Linked DNA regions of Coturnix japonica. The protein of the gene in region 4 interacts with the protein of the main gene of each other region in a pairwise test. Links are inferred from orthologs where the notes say so. Each region holds a gene or a part of one and is shown on either strand. Other genes may lie near its edges.

The links.
Region 1: the proteins of TNPO2 (region 4) and APIP interact in binary tests that used the Homo sapiens proteins (3 or more experiments, as listed by UniProt). The two-hybrid records come from large-scale screens. The link is inferred for Coturnix japonica from reciprocal best matches to the Homo sapiens genes TNPO2 and APIP.
Region 2: the proteins of TNPO2 (region 4) and CAMK2D interact in binary tests that used the Homo sapiens proteins (3 or more experiments, as listed by UniProt). The two-hybrid records come from large-scale screens. The link is inferred for Coturnix japonica from reciprocal best matches to the Homo sapiens genes TNPO2 and CAMK2D.
Region 3: the proteins of TNPO2 (region 4) and EXOC5 interact in binary tests that used the Homo sapiens proteins (3 or more experiments, as listed by UniProt). The two-hybrid records come from large-scale screens. The link is inferred for Coturnix japonica from reciprocal best matches to the Homo sapiens genes TNPO2 and EXOC5.

The regions. Positions count from the first base shown.
Region 1 is NC_029520.1:5,994,808-5,999,190, reverse strand, and holds the start of APIP (methylthioribulose-1-phosphate dehydratase), read right to left. Parts: upstream 2,826-4,383; 5' UTR 2,762-2,825; coding exon 2,714-2,761; intron 2,495-2,713; coding exon 2,394-2,494; intron 1,324-2,393; coding exon 1,275-1,323; intron 937-1,274; coding exon of another isoform or gene 879-936; coding exon 761-878; intron 404-760; exon of another isoform or gene 322-403; intron 1-321. Other genes in the region: PDHX (pyruvate dehydrogenase protein X component, mitochondrial), read left to right, coding at 2,847-2,985. UniProt on the Homo sapiens protein: Catalyzes the dehydration of methylthioribulose-1-phosphate (MTRu-1-P) into 2,3-diketo-5-methylthiopentyl-1-phosphate (DK-MTP-1-P).
Region 2 is NC_029519.1:50,655,190-50,659,375, reverse strand, and holds the start of CAMK2D (calcium/calmodulin-dependent protein kinase type II subunit delta), read right to left. Parts: upstream 2,868-4,186; 5' UTR 2,735-2,867; coding exon 2,667-2,734; intron 2,077-2,666; exon of another isoform or gene 2,047-2,076; coding exon 1,952-2,046; intron 1-1,951. UniProt on the Homo sapiens protein: Calcium/calmodulin-dependent protein kinase involved in the regulation of Ca(2+) homeostatis and excitation-contraction coupling (ECC) in heart by targeting ion channels, transporters and accessory proteins involved in Ca(2+) influx into the myocyte, Ca(2+) release from the sarcoplasmic reticulum (SR), SR Ca(2+) uptake and Na(+) and K(+) channel transport.
Region 3 is NC_029520.1:50,519,483-50,523,194, reverse strand, and holds part of EXOC5 (exocyst complex component 5), read right to left. Parts: intron 3,159-3,712; coding exon 3,114-3,158; intron 3,015-3,113; coding exon 2,874-3,014; intron 1,794-2,873; coding exon 1,711-1,793; intron 1,265-1,710; coding exon 1,055-1,264; intron 800-1,054; coding exon 764-799; intron 1-763. UniProt on the Homo sapiens protein: Component of the exocyst complex involved in the docking of exocytic vesicles with fusion sites on the plasma membrane.
Region 4 is NW_015439889.1:80,245-84,514, forward strand, and holds the start of TNPO2 (transportin-2), read left to right. Parts: upstream 1-1,298; 5' UTR 1,299-1,441; intron 1,442-2,384; 5' UTR 2,385-2,394; coding exon 2,395-2,493; intron 2,494-2,893; coding exon 2,894-2,969; intron 2,970-3,059; coding exon 3,060-3,209; intron 3,210-3,294; coding exon 3,295-3,401; intron 3,402-3,503; coding exon 3,504-3,637; intron 3,638-3,753; coding exon 3,754-3,835; intron 3,836-3,924; coding exon 3,925-4,047; intron 4,048-4,116; coding exon 4,117-4,235; intron 4,236-4,270. Other genes in the region: TRIR (telomerase RNA component interacting RNase), read left to right, coding at 134-241. UniProt on the Homo sapiens protein: Probably functions in nuclear protein import as nuclear transport receptor. Serves as receptor for nuclear localization signals (NLS) in cargo substrates.

The DNA.
Region 1 (4,383 bases), on a different chromosome or scaffold from region 4:
GCATTTATTAAGAAAAAAATGTTACTGTATTTGATTTTCTTTGGCTATGCATCTTAGCAAACAGTAATTTACTGTATCAGAAGAAAAATTGCACAGCAGCCTAAATAAAGGTAGGAAATAATTGCACACCTATAAAGGATAATTCTAGAGTATTTTAGGACAGCAATGTCAACTTTTACTTAGTGACAAATTGCAAGAGAAAAACTACTTGCACAAAAGCAAAGAGAAGCACTCCTTCTATAGTTTTCTTATGTGCTATAAAAACTAAAACACTGTAATAATTTTATCAGGTATCCATGATTCTAAAGAATTTCTAAACTTATAAAGAAGAGCCTTCTTTAGCATCCCTGACACAAGAAAAGGAAATGGATGCTCCACTGCAAACTGGCACTGTGATTATAAGGTAAGGAAAAGCTTCATATTTCTTTCACGTAAAAATTTAGAACCTTTGATGATAGCCAAGGCGTGTCAAGGACTTCCCATTCCCTCCAACAACCTATTAATAGACTGGGGTAAAAATCAGTGCTGAAAATGATCTCAGGTGTAGTTATGTAGGAAGCCGTAGAAAAGGCTTACAGATGTTACTGTGGATTACATTCCATTGTATGTGTGCTTGGAGAAATTTATTTATATTTTACAGGCTCATGTCTTTTTCACTGTGACTTCTACATTTAAAGAATCTGGTATTGAATTTGAATGTTGTTGACAATGTATATACGGCATTTCAGTCAACAGTAAAGCAAAAAGACTTGCTACATACCTCTCATAGTGTAGGCATTCATAAAAAGAGGCGTGCACTGGCTTTTCTTTAGTTTCTTGTGAGCTGGGGGACCACTGATGTCCCGCTCGTTCATGTCACAAACAAACATATCTTCTGGCTGTATCAGAGAAATTATTTTGACCTGTGATTGCCTGAACAGTTTCATATATATTCCTCTGTAGAAGGAAAATGAAACTATGAAACAGAAAAGAGGTGTTAAAGTGTAAAACGTGTGTACTACAGTAACCTGAAACTACTCAGATAGCTATAAAGCCATTTAATCTAGAAAAAGAGAAAAGCTGATCTAGAGTAACTTTCAGTCTTCTTTGATTCTATGCTGGCCATAGGCTTGCCTTGGCAGCTGAGTACTTAAATAAGAGGAGAAATCCAGTTATTTCAGGAATGCAGACCATATTGTAAGCCCAACTTTATCTAAGGAAAAATAAAACATTAAACATAGGTAATTTTACCCATCTGAATATGAGCTCTAAGGTAGAAATGCAGTTAAACATACCTGTATTCTTTCCTTCTGGACTCCTGAAGGAGCAATATAGATTTCATTCCTAAAAAAAAATTTAAGATAGGTAAAACTATTAAAAAACAAACGTCTTTGTAACAGCATGAGCATTAGAGCTCTACATTCACTTGAAAAGAAAAAGCAAAACTAAACTGTGACAGTAAATTTATCGCTCTTCCACATATGTGGTCATGGGTAGATGGGGTTGTCTTTTGGTTTAGTTTTGTTTTGTTCTTCCATAGTTTACATGAACAAAATCCATCAAAATACTGATTTAAATGTAAATAATTTTAAGGAGGCAACTGAAATATTTTCAATAACAACAAAGAAAATCAGACTGCTATCTCGTACTTAAACACTCTTTAGTTTCAGCAGCAATGCTTTAAATTCGGGAGCACAGAGACATCTAGTGAATAATTAGTCAAGTTACAGGTGTATCTCTTAAGGAGTGTGAGATGTTTGAATATTTTTCTCTCTTGTCAAGAAATTCATGGCTCAGAAGAAGTGAAATATAGGACAGCTGATAAAAAATTCTAGATCTGATTTTAATAATGCTATGCCATATCTTGGCATCTTCACTTTGAGTTGTTGCTATGAACAGTGCAGTCAGTAATGTTGATCAGGATGTGAGGTAGAATGAGCTGCTAGAACTTCGGTTGTTCCTATGGAACCAGGTTAGTCTAGGTTAGTCTACTTGCTCTGCCTCACAGCTGTTCATTCTGAAACATACCTTATGCTAATGAAGGTATAAAAATGAGTACAATCATTCAGGTTACTACTCCTACCATGTAAGATACATTGGAAGCTACTCTACTAACAGCTGTGTTGTTTCTTTTTCTGATACACACTGCATGTACGTCAGAAAAATCAGAGATTAGTAACTTTTAAGTTACAGTGTCCATGATGGGGCAGCGACAGACCCTGAAAGGTATTTTGTGGAGTGAAAGTTTCTCTTTTTAGTTCAGCAGTCCCTAGCAGGGGTTCTGTTTCCATTAGAAGCTTTGAAAGTATAAGTAGGGGGTAATGAACAGTTAAAAAGCAAAGCTGTGCTTCAAAAAAACTATTTTTTGGACCTTTAAAGATCATACAGCTTCTTGCTCTTCCACCTTTACTTACCCATATTTCAGGCTGATTCCTCCACCAGTTCCCGTTACCCAGCCTAAACCATAAAACAGCCTACAAAGTTCTGGGATAAGATTTCTCGGATGTAACTTATCCTAAAAATAAATCAGAAAAAGGATCAACGAAAAGCGATCAGAAAACGTTAAGAATTTCAATCCTGAGACTCAGTTTAAACGGGTGACAGCCATATTTCAGCAATGACGCTATTATTTACGACTTCAATTGCAAGGGGACATGTCTTCTCTTTTAGGACACGTCTTTCTAAGGCCTGGTTTAAATCCTGCCTCGTTCTAAGCGCTGCTACCTCTCGTTACCTGCACCGCGTTGTTGAGCTGGACGCCATCACCGCCGGCGGCAGCCATGACACCGTAACCCCGACCCGCAGCCGGCTTTTCCGTTCAGGCAGCGCTAAGGGCAGCCCCTTCCCTGCAGTGAGGGCCAGGCAAGATGGCGGCCTCCTGGTGGCGGAGCGGAGGAGCCGGGGTGATGAGGTTGTTGCGAGGCGGGCGGCCGGTGTTGGGTGCTGGGCTGGCCCTGCCCGCACGGGGAGGATGGAGGCTCCTGCATGGCACCCAGGAGCTGCTGGGTGAGTGCTGGGCTGCAGCCGGCCTGCTGCTGTGTGGGGAGAGAGGTGGCAAGGAGCCTTGTTGGGCCGGAGCTGTATGCACAGCTCTCTGAGGTCGAGTCTATAAGTTGAAACTTAGGGTTTAGCACTGAAATGCTGTGCTTAATTTCAAAGGCAGCTTCTTGGCTTCTCATCCAAGTGAGGGCTGCTATGCTGAGCTCCTCTGTTAGTTTGGTGTCACATTCTAAAGAACACATCTTCAGTTCTTTACCTTGAAAAAGTTATGCTTACTGCATGTGCATGTATTATTTTAGATGATGTTTTCTTACACCTTTAGGAGCCCAAATATGTTTTTCTATGTGTATATAATATCAGGGATGGTAAGGTTAACATCCGTAGCATCCAGATGTTAAGCTGTCAATGAGTACTGCATGTGCATGTGTTATTTTAGATGATGTTTTCTTACTCCTTTAGGGGCCCAAATATGTTTTTCTATGCGTATATGATAAGGTTAACATCCGTAGCATCCAGATGTTAAGCTGTCAGTGAGTAAATAGCATGAAAATGTCTGAGCATTTGAAAAAAGGAGGGCAGCATGTAACGTAGGAAGGAGGGAAAGCAAAGGTCAGCTTCCAAGAAAACTCATCAGTGCGTTTGAAAGAAGAAGCAAAAAAGCATAGAGCACAATTCAAGTGAAATGACCAGGAGTGAGCATGTAGGAACAAAAATGAAAAAATCAAGGTGTGAAATGATGTAGCTGTAATCTTGCAGAAGCATTGAAGAAACAGTCTGTAAGTTAGTATGAGAAATAAAGCCCAGTCTGTTACGCAACAGAGTACACCAAAACCCAAGTATGTATTGCTGCTGTTTTTTGGTTGAGCTTTCACTGAGAGCTAAATCAATGCACAGACATGTTGACAAAAGCTAAGCCAGGTGAAGGGCGCAAGTTATTCAGAGAATAACTTCAGACAAGTTAGGTGTCATTCACACAAATTAGTGTTGCAGCTCTGCAGCTGCAGAGAACAGGTGAGATGGGGGGAAAGCAGGAAGATGTCTTGGTTATCTTTCTCATCTGTATATTCAAAAAAACTCTGTGAAAATAACTTTCCTGAACTTTTTGTTTGTTTTCAGAGCCTGCAGTTAAGCAACCAGCCAAACAAATTATGAAATACTGACAAGGCTTAGGAAAACTTTGTTTCATCAGGCCACTCATATTTCCTTTTGTAAGGTGTAACAGTGCTATCTGTGCTGTAGGTTGACTTTGTGAGGCTTTTGGTGTGGTATCGTATGTTGGTGGGTTTTGTTTTTCTCAATGCTTTTTCCTAAATGGAAATTGTATAAAGGTAATCTCAAGGATTCTCTATAGGGTTGTTCAAACTGTAAAGGGAGCTGAGGAGTTATTAGCTGTCCTAACTGGAA
Region 2 (4,186 bases), on a different chromosome or scaffold from region 4:
CAGAATTTCTTCACAACTGAACAAGGAATCAGAAGAGAACACACCTTCACTGGCGTAAGCGTGTGACGACATCACCCTGTGTTTAGAAGGGCTGCTAAGGGAAGGATCCAAACAATCTCCAACATCATTTGTGGCTGGAGTGACAATTATTGTTGTATCAAGGCTGACACAGTCAAATAATTTTTCAACTCAAATCATGTTGAGTTCTCCTTTAGATTAACAGCCGTGACTCCTCCCCATCAAAACACTGTAATGGCAACTCTGTCTTGCAAGCAAGAAGGCTCAAATTTGATGTAGTGCTTCAGAGTTACAGACAAGCAGGGTTGTACATGGGATACATGGCAAGCTGAGAACCTCTAACCGCTCACAGATGAAGCTCACCCAATAACCTTCAGATTTACATTATGATCTGTATTTCAGGTGAGAAGCTGGAAACATCAAAGTGAACTGCTACCTCATCATAAAGCAGATCAGACAGGAGGAGAATGAAACTTATAATTTAGATACTACTTGAAATGTAGTCCGAGTTGTAAGCTGCATACTTAGTATCAGTCACGTTAAAGTATCACAGACAGAGGCACTGCAAGTAACACCCTTTTGTAACTGCAGAATTGCTTAAGAGGAATCCCAGGATCTCTGTAAGGAGCTTGCTCTTCAAAAGCTGCTGAGATGTTGTTATTTGTCTTCCAAAAGATAAAAGCTAAAGAACAGCAGTGCATGTAAACTAAAATAATAAAATAAAATCTGGAATCTTTGAAAGCCAAGATGGAAATGGATCCACTGCATTCGTGGACACAGCATCACATTCATTCACATATGGAAGAATATTTCACAGCCCAGTTACCAACCTCGAAAACCCAACTCCTTGCTTTATGGGCCTACACTTCAAACCAACAGAAATTTTTCTTTGCATGAGTTTTGCTACATTCCACCTTGCCAGCCAAATTCTCCCCAGCAGGTCTGGGTGCATCAATGGGCTGCAGTGAGGACCAACTCGGTCCTGCCTGAACAGCCAAGGAAGCACAAAATGAAAGCCTGAAAAACAGCATGTCTCAAATGATGACTTCTAAGGAAGACTACAGAGCTGACACCACTTGCTTATTCACTTTCACATTCTTTACCATATCACAAACTCACATCAAAACACAGGTAGTGTTAACAGAGAATAATCCCTAATCCTCGACATCCTCCTACAATCACTTTGACGTGGGTTTAACAAGGAATTGACATATCTCCATTGAGGCTTGCTGCCGACAGCAGTAACCTACAGCACACACGTGACCACCCAAATGTATCACCACGACTTCCCACTGACAGGCAGAACATAAGGGAAACAAACATGTTACAGTAAAACCTAAGCATGCGGTGCAGCAGGCATTAATGCTGGGCTGGAGCTGTGACACAATGTGTCATTCAGAATGACTTGTGTTCACAAATGGACGCTTCAAAAAAGGAATTTTCCCTTTCCCCGGGATCTCATCACAAAGTTCAGTACAGGAGGGGGCATCACACTCTTCTCCACGGATTCAAATAGGCCTTTTTCACGTTTCAGTTTAAATGCAATGGAAACTTTGAATTCAGAAAAGAAAACACATATTTATGATAAAAGCCGCAATGTCAACTTGTTTCCCAGCCTTCCCCTAAAAAAATCAGAGTGTACAATCCTTTCCAGTTTTTCCAATGTAAAAACGGGAAGAGGATGCACTCATTTAAATCACTTCATAAAGCTTCCCTTTAAGGTACAGCAACACAGCCCTCCATACGGTTAACCTCTGAAACGTTTAGCATAAAAAAGAACCACTGCCTGAAAGGAAATGAAGAAAATTACTGAGAAAATTAATAACCTTAATTCTTATTATTCTGTGCTCCGTTTTAACGCTCGCCACAAGAATGCAAGAAATGAGGAGAAGATATCGTAAACGCTCGGTTGGAATATATGGAATATACCCACCCCTGGCCGAGAGCTTTTTGGTGTTGATGATTTTGGCAGCATACTCCTGTCCTGTGGTGATTTTCATACATCGCCTCACGACCGAGAACGCTCCTCTGCAAGCCAAGAGGGGACAGAGCGTCAGTGCCACCCGAACAGCGCCCTGCCATTACCACCGCGCTGCCACACATCTAAAGGAGCGGAACGATGCCCAAAGAATTAAGGGGGGGAGGGAACGGGATAATAAGAAAAATAAATTGTAAGAAGAAGGGAGGCTTGTCAGAGACGGTCAGCGCTCATTTTAATCAACGCAACAGCAAAACGCTGCTCAGAGCCGCTGTTTCGAGCGGTGCGACCGAAGCGCTCTCCCGGCGGCGGCACGTTGCGGCCCCGGGTCCCCGTGTCCGTGCCAACATGGCGATCGGGGATACGCGCCCCAACGCAGGGGGGCGCCCGACGAACCGGCCGCGGTCGTGTCGGGGGTAGCGAGCTCCGGCTGCCGCCGGCAGGGCAGCCCGGCAGCAGGGCAGCCCGTCACCGCCCGCAGCACCCGCAGGGATTGCCGCCCACCCGGAGCTGTGCTCACGGACCGAGTCTCAGCCTTGAAGCGACGCCCGGGGACGAGGCAGGGCTGCAGGCATCGCCCCGCACACCCCAACCCGCGGGGACGGAGCCCCCCCGACTCTCAGTGTTTCCCTCCTCTCCCCCCTCGTCCCCGGAGCGGCCCCGTACTTACTTGCCGAGCTCCTCGTAGAGCTGGTACTCGTCGGTGAAGCGGGTGCAGGTGGCGGTTGAGGCCATCATGGGGACGGGCGGCCGCCGGTGCCTCCGGCGGCCAGGGGAGGCGAGGCGGCGGAGGGGCTGCGGGGTGGGCGAGGCGATGCGAGGAGCGGCTCCGCGCCGGCTTCTCCTCCCCGCCGCCGCCGCCGCCGCCGCCTCTCGTGTCGGGGCCGCCTCCTCCCCGCCAGGCGGCTCGTCCCCGCGGCGAGTCTCTCCCCTCCCCGCCGCCGCCGCCGCCGCCTCTCGTGTCGGGGCCGCCTCCTCCCCGCCAGGCGGCTCGTCCCCGCGGCGAGTCTCTCCCCTCCCCTCGTCCCCACCCTCTGGGAAAATAAATAAATAAAACGTCGCGGCGGAGAGGCGGCACCGAAAGGGAAAGCAAAACCGGGCCGGGGGGCGCGGCGCGGCAGCCGGCGACGGGGCGCCCCGGCCCTACGTTCTCCCGAGCCCGCGGGCAGCGGGGCCGCCTTGCCTCGCTCCGCGCCGATTCCCGGTGCCGTGCCTCCCCCTAGCGATACGAGCCCAGCGCTCGCGGCCGCCCCGTCGCGGCTCTCTGCCGCCGCCCGTCGGGGCCGCTCTGGCAAGGGGGGCTCCGCGCTCGGGGAACGGCCGCGCGAAGGGCCGATCCGATTCGATCCGCACCCGGCACGGAGGCGGGAGGCGCCGCCGGCCCCGAGGAAACGGATGCACCTGCGGCCCGTTCCTCGGCGACCGCTGACGTCAACAACCGCCCCGCGGGGGCGGGGGGGCGGCCGTGCTCGGGGGCGCGCGCGGCGGCAGCCGGAGGGAAGCGGGACCGCGCGACACCCCCCCCACCTCCTCCTCCTCCTCCTTCTCCTCCTTCTTCTCCTCCCGGGGCTCCGCAGCGCGGGGTGGGCTCGGGGGCTGTGACCTTGGGCTCGGTCCTGCAGCGGGGAAGGGCGGCTCCGCAGCACCGGAGGAGGGTTGGACGACAGCGGGGGTCCCAACACGGAGCGTGCACCGTGCTCGGTTAGAAGGGCTGGGAATGCCGCTGTCGTGTCACTGAGAGCCGTGCTGAGAGTGGGGTAAAGCGGCTGTGTGTGGGAAATGGTGCGGCTGAAGTATCAACGCATCTGGTTTTATAGACATTTCATCCATAAGATTTCTGTCCAAAATATTTAAAGCCAAAGCAGCAGCAGCAGGTGAAGAGCTGCTGATGGTGGTAACGGCAGCATTCTTCACAGTCCGAAGTTGGAAATCATTACAACGTGCCTAAAACCCTTCCCAAATGTGGCTGCTTCCACACCCGCCGCCAAGGCGCACGCTGTTACATGCAGCCATACTCCCAGCCCAGGCCCTGGCATGGCTGCTTGCTCTGTGCTGGGCACACCATGTGCCTTGCTGTGTGTTCCTCTATGCTACACACAATGGTGGTGCGTTAAGGGATGAGTTACGCTAACATCTGTGCAGTGCTCTAAACATATAGCACAGCAGAGATGTCAGCTTGCATTACAGCCA
Region 3 (3,712 bases), on a different chromosome or scaffold from region 4:
AAAACAGAACCCAAGACACAGTTTAGGATATGCAAGCGTTAAGACAGTTAAGACAGCTTAAAAAAAAATTGCTAGTAAATGCAAAACAACCACCTCTGATCCCACATTCAGCTGTGTCCTACCATGGCACATTCATACCATGGGAACACCTGTTCCCCCTCTGGGGCGTGTGCTCTGTGGACAAAGTTCAGCCTCCATACGTTGTCACATTTTACTTTCAAAACACTGAGGTCTTCCTCTCTCATCCACAGCCACAAATCCTTTCATCCTCATCCCTATCTGTGCAGTCATGACTTATTCAAGCATGCTCCGACACATTTCCATGCATAAAGCAACCCATAGGGACAGTCATTGCAATCAATTTAATTTTCCCCAAGAAAATTAAATTTTTATCTTTGCTTTTATTCATCTCATGACTTTGCTATAGTTGTTGTTGTTTTCTCCAAATCACTCTTCATGCCTGACACACCGAACCCAGTAACTCTGAGAGGTGTAACAGTCTCATCACCTTTTCCTCACACAAGTTTTCTTTCTTCCTTTCCCACGTCTCCCTACTCCTTTATAGTGTCTCTACCCTGAGGATAATGAAGTCTTGTTTTACCTTTCTCTAAGTCCATTGCATCTTCTGGGCTCACTAAGAGCTTTTTCACTGACATTGCTATGGTCTTTTCCCCTTCCTAGGTCTTGGGAGGGGACCACAAGACCTGGGCAGGTGAAAAAAAATGTATGCTTTTAGATACACACATATACATGCGTTCGGTACCTTAATTTTGCTTCAGTCCTTTTGTGGGTCTGGATCCTAAGTTGAAACATAAGTTTAACTGGTATTTTTCATTTTCCATGAGTATATAAGCACCATGCATCACCCTTCACATGTAAGATTTCAGAGAAAGTTAACAGGAAATGATAGCAAATTATAAAAAGCTGTAGGTCACTTTAGAAGTCTGCTCTTTTGCAGTCCATCACTGTACATTTGGCACGAAAAACACAACATTTCTCCCTTTACCACCTCCCTTCCACTTCAGAAGTAGGAAACTTCATAGGAGAAACTTACCCTCCAGTGCCAATAGACCTCTTCTGGTGGTTTTTGGAATCATAATAACGTTGCAGAATCATCGCGCTCCTACTTTTCAAATAGCCAATTTCCACCTCAATGTAATTCTCCAAGTAGGAAATGAAAATGGATTTGATAAGCTTAGACAAGAAAGTCTGCTTATCGGTACCCAAGTTAAATTCCATCAATTTGCTTGAAAGATTAGTAGTTCTTTATGCAAAACAAAGAAGGGGAGAGGAGGAAAAGGTTGTATTTGTATGAATTACAGCATTATATGCTTGTAAAAGTACATGGTACAACAGAATCCAGATCATGATTAGAACTTCTAGCAGCTTTATACTTAAGTAAAGAACTTTGCATAATTCATGTTTGATTACATATGGCACAATTGCCATCAAGGGAAGGACTGGCTTTCACCCAGTTTAAAAATCACACTCAAAGATCACAATGTTAAATACCTCCCATTCAAAACGATAACAGCTATTTAAAGTTTCTAAAGAAATTTAATCATTGGAAAGTTTGACAGACATTAAATTTTTCCCATTTTTACGAGGAGTTTACTTTTTTGTCTGATATTCCGACATCTTGATGATGATTAATCAATTCATTCCAAGAGGATAACTACAACAATAATTTTATCATCTACATGCATATACCTTGTATACAGATCGTAAAGATTCTTAAGATACTGTTCTGCATCCGATTTCCTGTGTTCTTCCAGTTGGTCCTTCACATAACTCTGTAAAATTTAGGTATATCTGTTAGAAGAATAGATATCAAACCTCAGGTCATCCTCACTTGTTAGATTATACATATAATTTACTTCAAAGCACACACCTTAACCCAAAGGCTGTATGGATTGCTTAAGTCTCTGATACAACAGAATTTCTGTCTTCTACAGATAAATACATTGTTTTGAAGGAAATGATTTATTAATACAAAGTAGCAGCAGGTAAAGCAAACAGCAAAGAGGGATTGCTTTGAAAACATGCTAGTCCAAACACAAGATCCCCACTCTTAAAGAATCAAAACCACTAGAGGCCTAAGGGTAGGTCTACAGTTGACAGCAAGAGAAAGAGGTACTTATATATTTGCTAACTACAATACATACATAATGCAGATACAAGCTTAGAGTCTTCCTGTAATCAACTATTTGGCCAAAAAATATTATTTACCATAAAATACTAAGTCAAAACTGATGGTCAAATTGGGGAATGAAATACAAACTCAGTCTCCCTGCTCCATATTATCAATAATAAGGAAAACAACACTGACTGGGAAATTGCACTTTGCAATGAATAGGCATACTGCTGACTTCACATACTTAAGGGAGTATATTTTCAGGATGGGTAATGGGGTTTTCAACTAATGTTTCTAAATGTTCATATAAATATTCCAAGCATCGGCTATTACACCTTTATTCATTACTAACCTCACACATGAAACCCAATTCCAACTACGAACAGGTTAAAGATGTTTATTAAATGTGAAACTCCTTTTCCTGACATATTCTGGGTAGGTGGCATAAAGAAGAAACCAAAAGCGTATGACATCTCATGAACTAGCTAATGAACGTACTGATTCCCTTTTAATTTTACATACTGAATTTGAATGTTTTCATTCTTGCTGTATTCACAGTACAAGTAGTTTCATTTGAAGTGGGTCTGATTATCTGTATGAAACGCTATACGGCAATCAACTGTAATTCTACCTCTTTATACAGGATTATGAATCCTGTAAATTCTGAGCAACTGTTACTTCAAGCACATATGGATGAAAAGCTTCCTTGATCACTATAGTATACTAATATTTGAAGTACCTGAAGTTTAACTTCAAAGATGTTTTGGATGAGTTTGGCTAGCACAGTCTCCGGATTGCTGAAGACTTCTCCAACTTGCTTATTCACTCGCTGGCAGAGAATGGCTGCATCTTCAAACACATCATTCCTCAGAAACGCACCCTAGGGTTGTGGAAACAATTTCACAGCATATTTACAACTACTTATAGAATAAGGAAATCAACACCCAAAGAGATGCGTGTAAAACATAAAACGCATTACCTCTTGACACTGTTTTATGTACACATCAACACAATGGGAATAGCCCTGTGGAAGGAGGAAAAAAAATAGTCTTAAAACCAGGCTCTCCGTGACTTTTATACAGAACGAAATTAAGGAGATAAAACTCCTGCAAAGAAATTAACACAAGAAATACATTTATCTGAAGCACAGGCTTTTTCCAGTCCATTCTTGTCACAAATCTAGCAGAACTTCACTTATCACAGCTCACCGTGGATGCACATGACAGGTATTAATGCTCTTCAAGCACGAATGACAACTCACACAATTCAAGAAAAATTCCCCTCAGAATGTTCTCTATTGACAATGTCTCTGATTCCCCACCATAGAATCACAGAATGGCCTGGGTTGAAAAGGCCCACAATGATCATCCAATTTTAAACCCCTTCTGCTTGCAGGGTCACCAACCACCAGACCAGGCTGCTCAGAGCCACATCCAGCCTGGCCTCAAATGCCTCCAGGGATGGCATTTGCCTCCTTTATTGACCTACATTTGATTTCAGATGGAACATTTCAGTATTTTTAAAAGATATATGGGTAACAACCATTTGCCTGTGCAAATATTTTCACTTAAAGGATGA
Region 4 (4,270 bases):
ACTGCTCCCCTCTTTCAATCCCCTCTAGTGTTTCCAGTTTGTTGGTCCTGGTGCACCCCATTACCCCCATTACTCCCAGTGCTTCCAGTTCTCCCCCATTACAGTTCTCATTATTTTTTTCCCCTTTTCTCAGGTTTTGACGAGTAAAGGCGACGCCTGGGCCAAGTACATGGCAGAAGTGAAGAAGTACAAAGCACATCAGTGCAGCGATGACGACAAAACGCGGCCCCTGGTGAAATAACCACCCCCTCCCCCTCCACCCCGGACATAATTACTGTACATAATTAATTATTTAAGGACGCAGGCAGCTCCTTCCAAGCGTTTTTATATGTACAAATATATATATCCCCATCGCACCCCAGGACTCTGCCGCCTGCGATGCCTCGGGGGAGGTGGGGGGCACAGCCCCCTGCCCACCGCTCACCCCCCCTGCAGGGCCCCCACTGCCACGTTCTCCCCCTCCCCCTGCCCGGCTCCATTTTGGGGTTAGAAGTGGAGAATTGGGGGAGGCCGATGGGAGCAGCCGCTGCTGTTGCTTCATTAAAGATCTCGGAGGTTTTAGAGTGTGGTGGTGTTTTTGGGGTGGGGGCTGCCCAGCTCAGAACCTCGGCTGTCACCAGAAGTTCTTGTTTTTGGGGTTATGGTTGTACTTTTTGGGGTTATGGTTGTACTTTTTGGGGTTCTGATGGTACTTTTGGTCGTTCTGATGGTGATTTTGGGGTTCTGGTGGTGATTTTGGGGTTCTGATGGTACTTTTGGGGTTCTGATGGTGATTTTGGGGTTCTGATGGTGATTTTGGGGTTCTGATGGTGATTTTGGGGCTCTGATGGTGATTTTGTGGTTCTGATGGTGGGGGATGCTGCCCAAACCTCACTGTGCCCCCTGTAAGTGCTGCCCGCATCCTCTTGGAGCACTGGGGTTGGGGTGAAGGTGGGATGGGATGGTCCTGAGCTTCTCCTCCCCCATTGCCCCCCGTTTCTGAGCCCTCCTGCTCTCCCATCCCTTTCTCCCATGTCTCCAATTCCCCTGGGTTCCCACCCGTGCCCCCATTCCCTGCTCCCCCATTGCTCCCAGTTCCCTTCCTTCACCCCCCATTACTTCCAATACACCTCAGTTCCCATTGCTCCCCTATAGCTCCGGGACCGGAAGGGGCTGGGCCCGAGCGGCGCCCACGGGCCCCTGGGAGATGTAGTTCGGAAGTTGAGGGTTGGGCTACGCGCATGCGCAGCAACGCACTTTCCGGTCTAGGCCCCGCCCCCCAACGCAGCACGCACGCACGCAGCCCCTCGCGCTCTCACGCGGTCACGTGGTGCGGCATACGGTGGCCGGCGCGGGTCAGTGCCCGCGTGCCGCGCTCCGCGGGCAGCGCCCGGTGCCCCGCAGGCCGCGCTCCGCCCTCCGCCCCGGAGCCCACCCCGGGCTCGGGAGCGACCCCCGGGAGGTACGAGGAGGAGACGGGAACGTGAGGAGGGAGAATTGGGCCTGGAGCGGGGGAAGGGGCGTGAGGGGGGAGGGGGATGGGATCTGTGGGGGTGGGACGGGGCATGTTTTTTGGGGGAGTGGGGAGCCTAATGGGGGGGAGGGGGTTGGATGTAGGCGGGCTGAATTCGGAGGCCCTGGGGGGGACCTGGAGAACGATCGCGGGGGGAAAGTGAACGGGATTAACGGGGGGGGAAGCCGGGCGCATGGACCGGCGGGCGAAAAATAGGGGCTTGGATGGGGGGAAAGGAGGAGGAGGAGCGAAGGGGGGGGGGAGAACGGGGGGAGTTGGGCGCCTAAGGGGGGGCAGCCGGGGGGATTATAAGATGCGTGGCCGCGGGGCTTCGTTGGGAAGTGGGGCTTAATGGGGGGGGGATGCTTTTGGGGGTTTGTTAACGGGGAACGCGGAGTAGTAGGAAGGGGGAATGGGGGTAACGTGACAGATCTAATTGGGCGTGAGGGGGGAAGGGGGCAAACGCCTGTGGGAGAAAAGGTTCATTGGCGTTCGTAATGGAGATGTAGGGGGGCAGTGGGGCCTGGGAAAAGGGGAGAAGTGCAGGTACTGAGAGAGAGAGATTCGGGGGCAGTGGGGCTGGGAAGTGGGGAATTGGAGCGAGAATGTTGGCGGTTACTTTCTGGGACTCGGGGAGGGGCGGGTTATTGGGGGAAAGGGGATAAGAGGTTCCAGAGGGCCATTTGGTGCTGGGGGGGATTGAAAGAAACGGTGAGTGGAAGAATTGGGGTTAATCGGGGACTGGGGGGATTTTTTGAGAGTGGGGGGTGAATAAAGGGGTTGTGGGCATAGGGGAAATAAGGTGAGATTCTGCCATGGTGGTTCGGTGTCTGATATTTGGGGGGGGAGGGGGGGGAAGTTTTGCCACCCCCACACCTGAATTTCCCTCCAGGGCCATCGCCATGGACTGGCAGCCGGACGAGCAGGGGCTCCAGCAGATCCTGCAGCTGCTGAAGGACTCGCAGTCCCCCAACACAGCGACGCAGCGCATTGTGCAGGACGTATCCGTGGGGCTGCAATGGGGTCGGGGGGTGGGGAGTGAAAGAGGAGCATGGGGGGCTGATGTGGGTCATAGTCCCCATTCTGCCCCATCTTGTTCTGTCCCTGACCCCATCCTTGTCCCAACCTGCTGTGGTCTTTGCCCCTTCCTGTTCTGACCCATTCATTATCTTATTCCTATCCCTTACCTCATCCTTGTCCCATTTTCTTCCTACCTCGGTCTCTCCCTACCCTGTCCAATTTACATCCCTTCCTTACTCCAGTCATTCTACTCCTTTTCTCTCCCAATCTGTGTATCTTTCTGTCCCCATCTCTGTCTGTCCCCATCGTGTTCCAATCTTTATCCTTCTCCCCCCCGCTGCTCCATCTTACCCTGCTCCCATCCTTAACCCCACACCACAGAAACTGAAGCAGCTCAACCAATTCCCTGACTTCAACAACTACCTGATCTTCGTTCTGACCCGGCTCAAATCTGAAGGTGGGTTTGCACCCAGGGGGGAATGGGGGGGCTGACAGAGCTCACTCACAGCCCCCCCACCCCAAAACCCACTCACTGCCCCTTCCCCAGATGAGCCCACACGGTCGCTGAGCGGCCTAATCCTAAAGAACAACGTCAAGGCCCACTATCAGAGTTTCCCCCCCCCTGTGGCTGAGTTCATCAAGCAGGAATGCCTCAACAACATCGGTGATGCCTCCTCTCTCATCCGTGCCACCATCGGTGAGGAAGAGGGGAAAAACCCACCCCAAACCCCCATCCTGAGCTCCCCCTCCCCACATTGGAGCTCACTGTGATTGCCTTATAGGTATCCTCATCACCACCATCGCTTCCAAAGGGGAGTTGCAGATGTGGCCTGAGCTGCTCCCACAGCTCTGCAACCTGCTCAACTCAGAGGACTACAACACGTGTGAGGTATGGGAGGCTGCGTGGGGCTATGGAGGGGGGGGGTGTCTGTGTGGGGCTGGGGGGGTCCTGGGGCAGTGCTGACCCCCCCCCTCTTCCATGGGCACACAGGGGGCATTTGGGGCGCTGCAGAAGATCTGTGAGGATTCCTCAGAGCTCCTGGACAGCGATGCGCTCAACCGTCCGCTCAACGTCATGATCCCCAAATTCCTGCAGTTCTTCAAGCACTGCAGCCCTAAAATCAGGTCTGGGGAGAAAAACCCCCAAACTGGGTGTGGAGGGGTTGAAGGAGGAACCCTCCCAGTTCTCCTTCATTAGTTAATGAGTTCATAACAAGCTGTTCCCTCCCCCCCCCAAACAGGTCCCATGCCATCGCCTGTGTCAATCAGTTCATCATGGACCGTGCTCAGGCACTGATGGAGAACATTGACACCTTCATTGAGGTGGGGGGAAAACTGGGCTGGGTGGGGGGACAGGGGGCTGTAGGGGGGAATGCTGTGTTCATTGTGGCCTCCACCCCCCCCCCCCATAGCACCTCTTTGCTCTGGCTGTGGATGAGGACCCCGAGGTGAGGAAGAATGTCTGCCGAGCTCTGGTGATGCTCCTGGAGGTCCGCATTGACCGCCTCATCCCCCACATGCATAGCATCATCCAGGTGGGTTTTGAGGGGGGTTGGGTAGGGTTGGAGCAGCTCATGGGGCTGACGTTGCCTCTCCTCCTCCAGTATATGCTGCAGCGGACACAGGACAGTGATGAGAACGTGGCCTTGGAGGCATGTGAGTTCTGGCTGACACTGGCAGAGCAGCCCATCTGCAAGGAGGTGCTGACGTCCCATCTGGTGCAGTGAGTGTGTGTGGGGGGATCCCATCTCCTTAACT